Linked DNA regions of Ovis aries. The protein of the gene in region 1 purifies or fractionates together with the protein of each later gene. This does not show direct contact. Links are inferred from orthologs where the notes say so. Each region holds a gene or a part of one and is shown on either strand. Other genes may lie near its edges. The genes, in order: INPP5K and GART.

Region 1 (3,811 bases):
GGGGGTATCTTGTGCCTCAAAATTCTGCATCTCCAGGATCCGGTCAAAGTGCTCCAGCCGCTGGTCATTGTTGGCCATGTGGGGGGGCAGGTGGCAGTTGATGATGCTGACATAGTAGCCGTAAAGCTTCAGAAAGATGTTGACACCCCCTTTGTTCCCCTGGTAGGTGGGCAGGAAGTGGGGGGACACACCTCTGTTTTCCCATCCGGGGCCTGAGGGCAGATGGTCTCAGTTCCTGCGGGATCTCCCAGGGTCAGCAGACACTCACCTCCGCACAGCCCAGCTCACCTACCTGCCGTCCCAGGGACACTAGGCCCCCCAGAGGAGGGAAGGCAGCTATGCGGGGCACTGGCCTGGACAGAGTGCCAAGATTCATTTCACCCCCTCTTTTCAATTCAGTCAATCCCTTTTTCAGTTGCCCAGCTCTAATGCCGTCAGCCCTCCCCCATCCAGTGAGAGAAGGCCCCCAGCTCTTGACTCAGAAAACAGCTCAGTCCTTACCCAGTACCCAAAGAGGCCGGTAGGGGTGGATTTAGTAGACAGGACCTGGATAAAGGGCAAATGCTGGTACTTGGCAAAGATCAGTAAGAGGAGCCCTTGCATGCGGACACTGGAGACCTGCGGGCAGAAGGGTGACAGTCATTCATGTCCCTCCAGGGCCTGTGCTGGGCGCCCTTGAGAGCCCTGCCTGAGCCACACGGATGTCCTGCCCTAGGGGTCTAGGGCATCTCAGGGCTGATGGGAGTCTCAGCTGCCAAATGAGGCAATCTGGGGGCTCCGCAGGGGGTGGAGACATCCCACCATCAGGAGGGCACTGACTCTTCCACCCCAGCCCACGTATGGCCAGGTGCCCTTCTCCCTAGTGTCCTCCTCAGCTCCCACGGGTACCATGCATGGAGGGGCTCAAAGAACTTCAGAGATGCTTTATGGGACAATGGCTAAGGGCCAGATCTAGATTCAGAAACCAGCTTGGGCTGTTAGTATTTGATGCAGGACAAATTTATTTTCTCATCGATAAAGCAGGAATCTATCTTAAAGATGCTGAATTAACTGGTAGCTCTTGATATTAATTTTTACTTTAAGGATTCTTGAAAGTAAATGCAGAGAAGGGACATGAGCATGAGAGAGCGGGAAATACTCTGTATCTTGATTTGATGGGTGGCAGCATGGCTACATATATGTATAAAAATCCACCAGACTCTACATTTCATTTCTCCATACATTATAGCTTAGTGAAAAACAATTAAGAAAACGCTACTGAAAAATAATACACATTATTATGGGCAGCTGGTGTCCGTGAACGCCACGCAGAGGAGATGAGAGTGAGCACAGAGGACACGTGTTCGCAGGTTGGGGGAAAACAGCTAATTCTGGCCAACTTTTGAAAGAAAGGTCCCTGTTCTGCAGAAGGACTGAGGCACAAGGAAACTAAGGAATCAGCAGGACCACTTTGAATAGCAACGTCAAAGGCCCAGGACTGCCAGAATGCCTGCGCTCAGCTGCCGTGGAGGTGGAGTGGGAATGGGCCTGTGACCCTCTCACAGCTTCAGGCTGTCTACACCCACCACCCGAGTAGCTATTTCCGGAGCATGAGGTGCAGAGGCCAAGGAGGAAATCCCCGGGTGGGGAGCATGTACTGGGGCCTTCCAGGAATTATGAAACTTGATCCCACAGGCCAGGAGCTCTGGGATGGTGGAGGAGTCAAGGGAGGGGCAACCCTGAACCCAAGACCGAGGGAGGGAGGCGTGAGCACCCAGAGCTGGACACAGGTTGCTACCAATGTGTCCCCAACTTCACTTTCCACCCCTGTCTTGGTCTCTTCCCTTCGCAAGCAAATAGGACAATGGGAGTGGGGAAGGGCTGGCTCCTGGGGGTGGGGGGCACCGACTCCCAGGGAACTGAAAAAGATTTGGGAAGAGTTTCAAGATTAATCTGATCCCACAGAGCAGGTCTGGGTCACTGAGCCCAGCCCCACAGGCTAGAGCCCACTCTGAAAGAGCAGGGAAGTGGGGGTGGGGGAGGGAGGATGGAGGTGGGGGTGGGGCAGGAAAACTTCAGATTGGGAGAAAGGGTGGGGCTATGGGGAAAGGCAGGAGACTTGTAGGGGAAGTTCTAGTTGGAGGAAATGAAGGAGGAGGAGCTAAGGAAGGGACTAGAAGGAGGGAGGCTGGGAGCCTAGGAGCTGGCAAAGGGGATCAGCCCCAGGCTTCTCAACCTGTGGCCAGCAACTTCCGACCTCAGGAACAGGCTGCAGGCAGGGCTTGCCCTTCACCTCTACTCTCTCCTCTCAGCCATGCAAAGGAGGGGCATCTGCAGTGGGTGCCTGCCAGGCCCTCAGGCTGGTCTCCCAACCTCGGGAGGCCCATGGAGAGAGTGAGCTGTGTCCCTGCCACGGGATGAGCTAATTTCCTTGGCTCAAGTCCATCCCACCGATCCCTTGCCAGTGAGCTGAGGTACAAGGAGGCCTCCAGTCTTGGGAAGGGAGTGGGTGGTGAGAGACAAGTGATTTTGCCCTCTGAGAGGGGCCAGCTCCAAGTCTGCAGGAAGAGGCCCGAGTTCAATCTGGAGGGAGCCAAGGGCTTGGGGACTGGCATCTTTTAGCCTCAGCAGCAGGATCACATCTGATGTGACCTCCTCCTGGCTCTGCCCTCCTCCAGAGGACTCACAGCTCTTGTCTCAGCACCTCTGGGCAGATTAGGGTCATGGTGTGAATTCTGAAGCAATCCAGTCACCCAGGGAAAGGGAAAAAGGAATTCTGGTATTTCTGAGAAGCAATGCTTTTTGGAGGTATTTTTAGTGGAACTATGTTTCATCTCTCAGCTGTGCAGGGCAGACAAGTAAGATCCAGCAATCTAGAGCATTCCTGCAGATTCTCCTATGGTCTAAAGATTTCCCAAAGAATACTGGCTCTATAGACTGAGAACCCTTCTCCTCCACATGTGTCTCTTCTAACCTCTGGGTCTCTGAGGATTTGAGGTGCATGTCTGTTAAGATCAGAGGACAACCTCTGATACCAGCAAGAGTCACAGGATACCTGTCAGCCTTAGAGATCACCAGTACAATAATAAAGTACAGCAGTTAAGGACACGGGTTATGAAGTTTGAAAGATCTGCATCCAAATCTGTCATGATCTCTGAGTCTTGGTTTTATCCATATAACACCTATATTTCAGAATAATGTATATAAAGAGTTTGTTTATAATGCTGATGCTTTCAAATTGTGGTTCTGGAAAAGACTCTTGAGAGTCCCTTGGACAGCAAGGAGATCAAACCAGTCAATCCTAAAGGAAACCAACCCTGAATATTTATTGAAAGGACTGATACTGAAGCTGAAGCATCAGTACTTTGGCCACCTGATGCCAAGAGCTGACTCACTGGAAAAGACCCTGATGTTGGGAAAGACTGAAGGTGGGAACAGAATGGGGCAACAGAAGATGAGATGGTTTAATGGTATCACTGACTCAATGGACACAGGGTTACAAAGAGTTAAACATGACTGAGTGACTGAACAAAACACCACCACCAATAAGCACACCATAGATAGTGGCAATTATTATTGCACTCTGAGATTTCAGGCTGGGTCTCTGAGTAGAGATTGGAGGCTGGGGGTGGGGCAGGCAATCAGGTGTTACTAAGCCCTGCTGCACCTCCCCGAGGAATTCTCCCAACCTGAAAAATATCGAGGTGTTAAACTAGCCCCTGGGGTCCCAGCTCAGCTCCAGCTACTTCAGAAAGACACAAGGCAGGCAGGAGCCCCAGGGAACCAGGTGCAACTGGGGTTTGGGTCTTTAAATAAAAGGGTAATAGCATGA
Region 2 (4,517 bases), on another chromosome or scaffold:
TTTAGAGTTTCTTCCTGGACTTTCTTTACATTTTTCCTAAGCACTTACACTGTGCTGACCTTACTAAAAAATCCACGGATTTAAAAATCCGAAAAGTAGGAATAAAAAAAAAAAAAAAACAGGCAATCTATAAGAAAGTAATCATCTTAAAGCTCTCCAGATGTTCATTCAACTACTGAAAAAGGGTGGAAATGTCAAGGCACCTAAATATCAATACAATCCTACAATAAACAGAATTCTATGGAGCCTGGAAAAATGTTCCAAACCATGATAAAAGTTCACAATATACAGGTTAAAAAAAAAAAAACACGCAAAACAAGATGACCACATTTCACAAAACACGTGCATCTGTATGCAAAGGAAAAAAAGTGAAAGAAGATAAAGATCAATAACCATGCGTTTTAAAATTCGTTTCTCTATTTTTTCTAAACCTAATACAACAATAAAACTTCTAATACAAAACCTAATTTTTAAAAGGTATAGAAATAAGACATTACAATTATCAAACACAACTACTGATTGCATGCAACTATTAAAAAGTTTCCAGGAAAATTCTATTCCCTTAGCTCAGGTCGTTTCTCACTATCCTAAAAATAACTAGCATATTACAAAATTTCAAAAAGCAACTAAATCAATGAACAGATATATTTCCCACTTGAAAAACAATGTATACGCAAAGAATTCCAGCAAATCTATATCATTACCCCATAACCGTATGTTAATTGGAGCATTCAGTTTACAACTGAGTTTCCGGCTATTTTTCAAATTCACCTCACGTTTGATTCTAGCTCTCAACTTTTTAAAACACAACTAACAATGCATTTCAACTCGGAACAAATGTTTACGTTATGCAAAATAAAAATACAAAAAGACAACCACTAAATAACATGACCCACGCGATTTTCCTTTCCGAGTAAGCAACTATTTCTTTGAAAGTCTCTTCCCATTCAAATTGTGTGGAACCAAGGGTAAACTAGTAGCGATGACAAAAACAGCGTGTTGGTCAAATAGGTCAATCGGGGCAGAGGGAGCAAGAATATTTAGACCAATACACGAACTCCACTTTTCGCTTGCTAAATTTAGTAATTACTAGTAATTCAAAGTCTCCTTCCATCCTCGCCTCGAATATTCTGTCAAAATAACTAACGTTAACTTTAACTGTTTTAATTTAAATTTCTAATCTACCAGACTATTTAAAATGCTACCTGGTGGAAGCCACAGGACATTAGGACCCAAATAATCTTCTCAAAGGATCCCGACCCCCAAGTGGTCCGAAGCTTGCAGTAATAAAGCGTATTTAAGATTACTCAAGAAACGGCCGTTAGACCCCTTTCCGGTCAAAGACACCGGCCGGCGAAATCCGCGGAGGCGGAGAGGGGGAGGGGAAGCGCGGCGGCAGAGCTGAGGAAGGAACTAGGCCCATCCCCGGTGGACAAGCAGGCCTACAGTAGCTAGACGGTAGGGGATACCCAAACAGGACAGAAGGCTGAGCATCTTAACTCGGTTCTAGAAGAGACAGCCTGGGATTATCTCGGAAAGGGCGAAGTTCCTCGCCGGGAAGGGAGGGAGCGGATGGGGGTGGGGGGGCCGGAAAATGGATCCCAGGCCCAGGCGGGGCTGTAGCCGGGCCTGAGACGAGCAACGACAGCGTCTCCGAAGAAAGATTCCATGGAAGGCCCCGTGGGGTCCCAGCGGTCCTTTGGGAGCAGAAGAGTCTGAGGAGAGCTTACCTTGAAAGCTCCTGTTGAATTTCCCGGAATTTACTGACCACGAAAGACCTAAAAATCTGCTCGATGTTGGTCGCCATGGCGTCCGCTCCGTTCTCTCAACTCCTCCTCACCAGTCCTCCAGGCTCCCAGCATGCCTCGGGAGGAGGCGCAGCGGCCAATTCCGTCTCTCGCCGTCCTGATTGGCTCCTGTGGGAGAGCCAGACCGGTACGCTCCGCCTCCGAACCTATCAGCGAGCACGGCCCCGCTCTCCTCCGCTGTTTCTGAGCGTTTGGGGTAGAGCTGCTGACGTTTGCGCCGCGCACGACTGTGTCCGCCATGTTAGTGACTGACGCAGGCGCCATTACAGGAGAAGTCTCTCTCTCGAGGTGGCTGTGTCGGCTTCAGTTGTCAGTCTTCAATAGCGTTTGGGGGAGGGGGGGCCGTTTAAGAGGCTTATTTTAGCCACTAACTACCCGAGATTAAATTCCGTGAGGAAAGGGAGCGGGGAGGGCAACAGGGTGCTCCAACATGTCTCCGCGTTTCGGCAGGGGAGATCCATTCGGGAAAGCACATTATCAGCGCCTGCCCACCGTACGAAGAATAACGTTTTCATCCCCCCATCTCTCTCCCGTGGCATCCTATAATCAGCTTTTTTTCCCCCCATTTTAGCATTGGGTCAGAGGTCACGAGCCAGCTGAGCTCAAACCCTGGTGCATTCTAATCTCGTCAGGAGCCAGGCGCATCACGAGACTTTTGCACAGTAGCCGGTCAGTTCTGATTCCTAAGCAACACACAAGTAGCTGAACATGGGTTTAGCATTTTGGCGCTCCCCACCGTCAGAGCTCAGGAGGTTCTGGAGGGGAGAGTAGATTTTACGTGGCACCTGGTACCACAGAATTAAACACTGTAAACGAGTAGGGTTTAAGAGATTAGCTCCGGAGGGGAGGTTCAGGCCGTGCCCGAGAGCGGGAGGGCGTCGTTCTTGATTACCTCGGGGTGGGGACCACGGGCCCCGCCAGCCAATAGGGAGGCGAACCCTCGAGGGCGGGGTGGGAGGGCCGAGCGCGCCGGATTCCGCGCGCCCAACTTCCGGCGCGCGTGGAGTACATTCAGATCCAGAGCGCTAGGCGAAGGTCTACGTGGGGACCCCGAGGTCACCCAGTATCGCCGGGTGAGTTTCCTCCGCCTCTCAGTAAAGTTGCTTTACGGTTTGGCTTGGCGGATTTACTCTCAGGCGTGAGATGAAACTGTGTGAACCGGTTTGGCTGCAGGAATTTTCATCTTATTCCCACGTGCCATGGGTGAAGGTTGGCCATATGCTTTTTCAGTTTTAACTGAGGTTTACAATAGCTCTGTCATTTCTCTGCTTTAAGTGTAAGGGCCCTTTTTGTACCTTTATGCTTTTTTTTTAATGCCATGCACCAGAATTGCATATTTTCTTGTTAATTCCGTCCTTTGTCTCTAGCAGGTTACTTAATCCCATTTTGCAGTTGGTTTCTGTGTTATGTTATTCACCACGTCTTTTGAAATGGCTTTTCTTGGCTCTCTAATTCTCTGTTATGTTATCCATTTAGACGACTGAGGCCCAAGAAGGTTAAGTCCCTCCAGGTTTCCCAGCTAGTAAGTCTTAACCCTATCCCAGGTCCTCTGACTGAAGGGCTCCTAGCCACTCCTGGATGTACATTCCCTCAGTCTGAGTCCTAAAACTATTTCAGAGATCTACGATAATCCCTTCACTGCTCCTGTAATTCACACTAATGTCTACTCTAGATTTAGAGTATATTTATTTCAAATATTTCAATATACATGGCAAGTCTGTGTTTTCCATTGACCATTTTCCTTTCTGAGATAACTTAGTAAATTTTTTTCTTCTTCATATTTTCAATTGTATCTGAAGCAAAATTGCTTCTGTTGGAATCTCACCCTCTGATCTATGTGACCTGCAGCAAGTTACTTAACCTAACTGAACCTCAAGTATGTTTATCAGCAAAATGGGCATAGTAATCCTATCTACCTCATAGAATTTTAAAATTAAAAGCATTTAGAGTAGCATCTGGCAAGAAGTGCTCAAGAAGTGTTTTATATTATCAACTTAGATTTTTCTTTAAATATGTATTCCTAGTATTTCATAAGTAACTGATTTCAGTTTTTCCTGTTATAAATTTGCATTCTACGTAATTAGATGTCTTCTGAAAACTAGTAAATGAATATGACAAATATGACAGATTATTCACTCTTTTGGCTTTCTAGAATTTCTATCCCTGAAGCATCAGTTTAGACAAAAGTAATCAAATGTAGCATGTTAGCATTCTTTTACTACTGAGTGTATGCAGTTGTACTAATTACTTATAAATAAATGCCATTTCAATTCTTACTATGCCTCATAAGGCACATTCTTAATTCCACCTTGTAAGATAGATGCATAGAAATCGAATTGCAGACAGTAAGAGCTTAACCAAGGTCACATGCTCACTTGAGCAGAGAGAGAGTTACCCATCCTGCTCAGGATCAGATGCCAGAACTGAGTGAGATGTGTTTACATTTGATTTTTGCCTTCTGCACCAGTTTCCTCTGGGAGGAGGGGCTGCTGCATCCCATGGGCTTAGCTGCCCTTTGGTACATGGGATCTTCATTCCCCAACCAGGAATGGAACACGCATCCCCTGCATTGGAAGGCAGATTCTTAACCACTGGACCACCAGGGAAGTCCCTTTGCCAGCATATTGCATTTTAAAAAAAAGATTTATTTACTTATTTGTATTTTTGGCTGCACTGGATCTTTTTTGCTTTGCTTTTGCTTTCTCTAGT

What was found.
Region 2: the proteins of INPP5K (region 1) and GART purify together in Homo sapiens (co-immunoprecipitation; 3 studies listed by BioGRID and IntAct, counting the BioPlex papers as one, with this or other methods). This does not show direct contact. The link is inferred for Ovis aries from reciprocal best matches to the Homo sapiens genes INPP5K and GART.

Annotation. Positions count from the first base shown.
Region 1 is NC_056064.1:22,529,919-22,533,729, forward strand, and holds part of INPP5K (inositol polyphosphate 5-phosphatase K), read right to left. Parts: intron 619-3,811; coding exon 502-618; intron 160-501; coding exon 1-159. UniProt on the Homo sapiens protein: Inositol 5-phosphatase which acts on inositol 1,4,5-trisphosphate, inositol 1,3,4,5-tetrakisphosphate, phosphatidylinositol 4,5-bisphosphate and phosphatidylinositol 3,4,5-trisphosphate.
Region 2 is NC_056054.1:122,632,121-122,636,637, forward strand, and holds the start of GART (trifunctional purine biosynthetic protein adenosine-3), read left to right. Parts: upstream 1-1,589; 5' UTR 1,590-1,730; coding exon of another isoform or gene 1,731-1,793; coding exon 1,794-1,935; intron 1,936-2,037; exon of another isoform or gene 2,038-2,477; intron 2,478-2,812; exon of another isoform or gene 2,813-3,007; coding exon of another isoform or gene 3,008-3,017; intron 3,018-4,517. Other genes in the region: protein SON, read right to left, coding at 1,731-1,807. UniProt on the Homo sapiens protein: Trifunctional enzyme that catalyzes three distinct reactions as part of the 'de novo' inosine monophosphate biosynthetic pathway.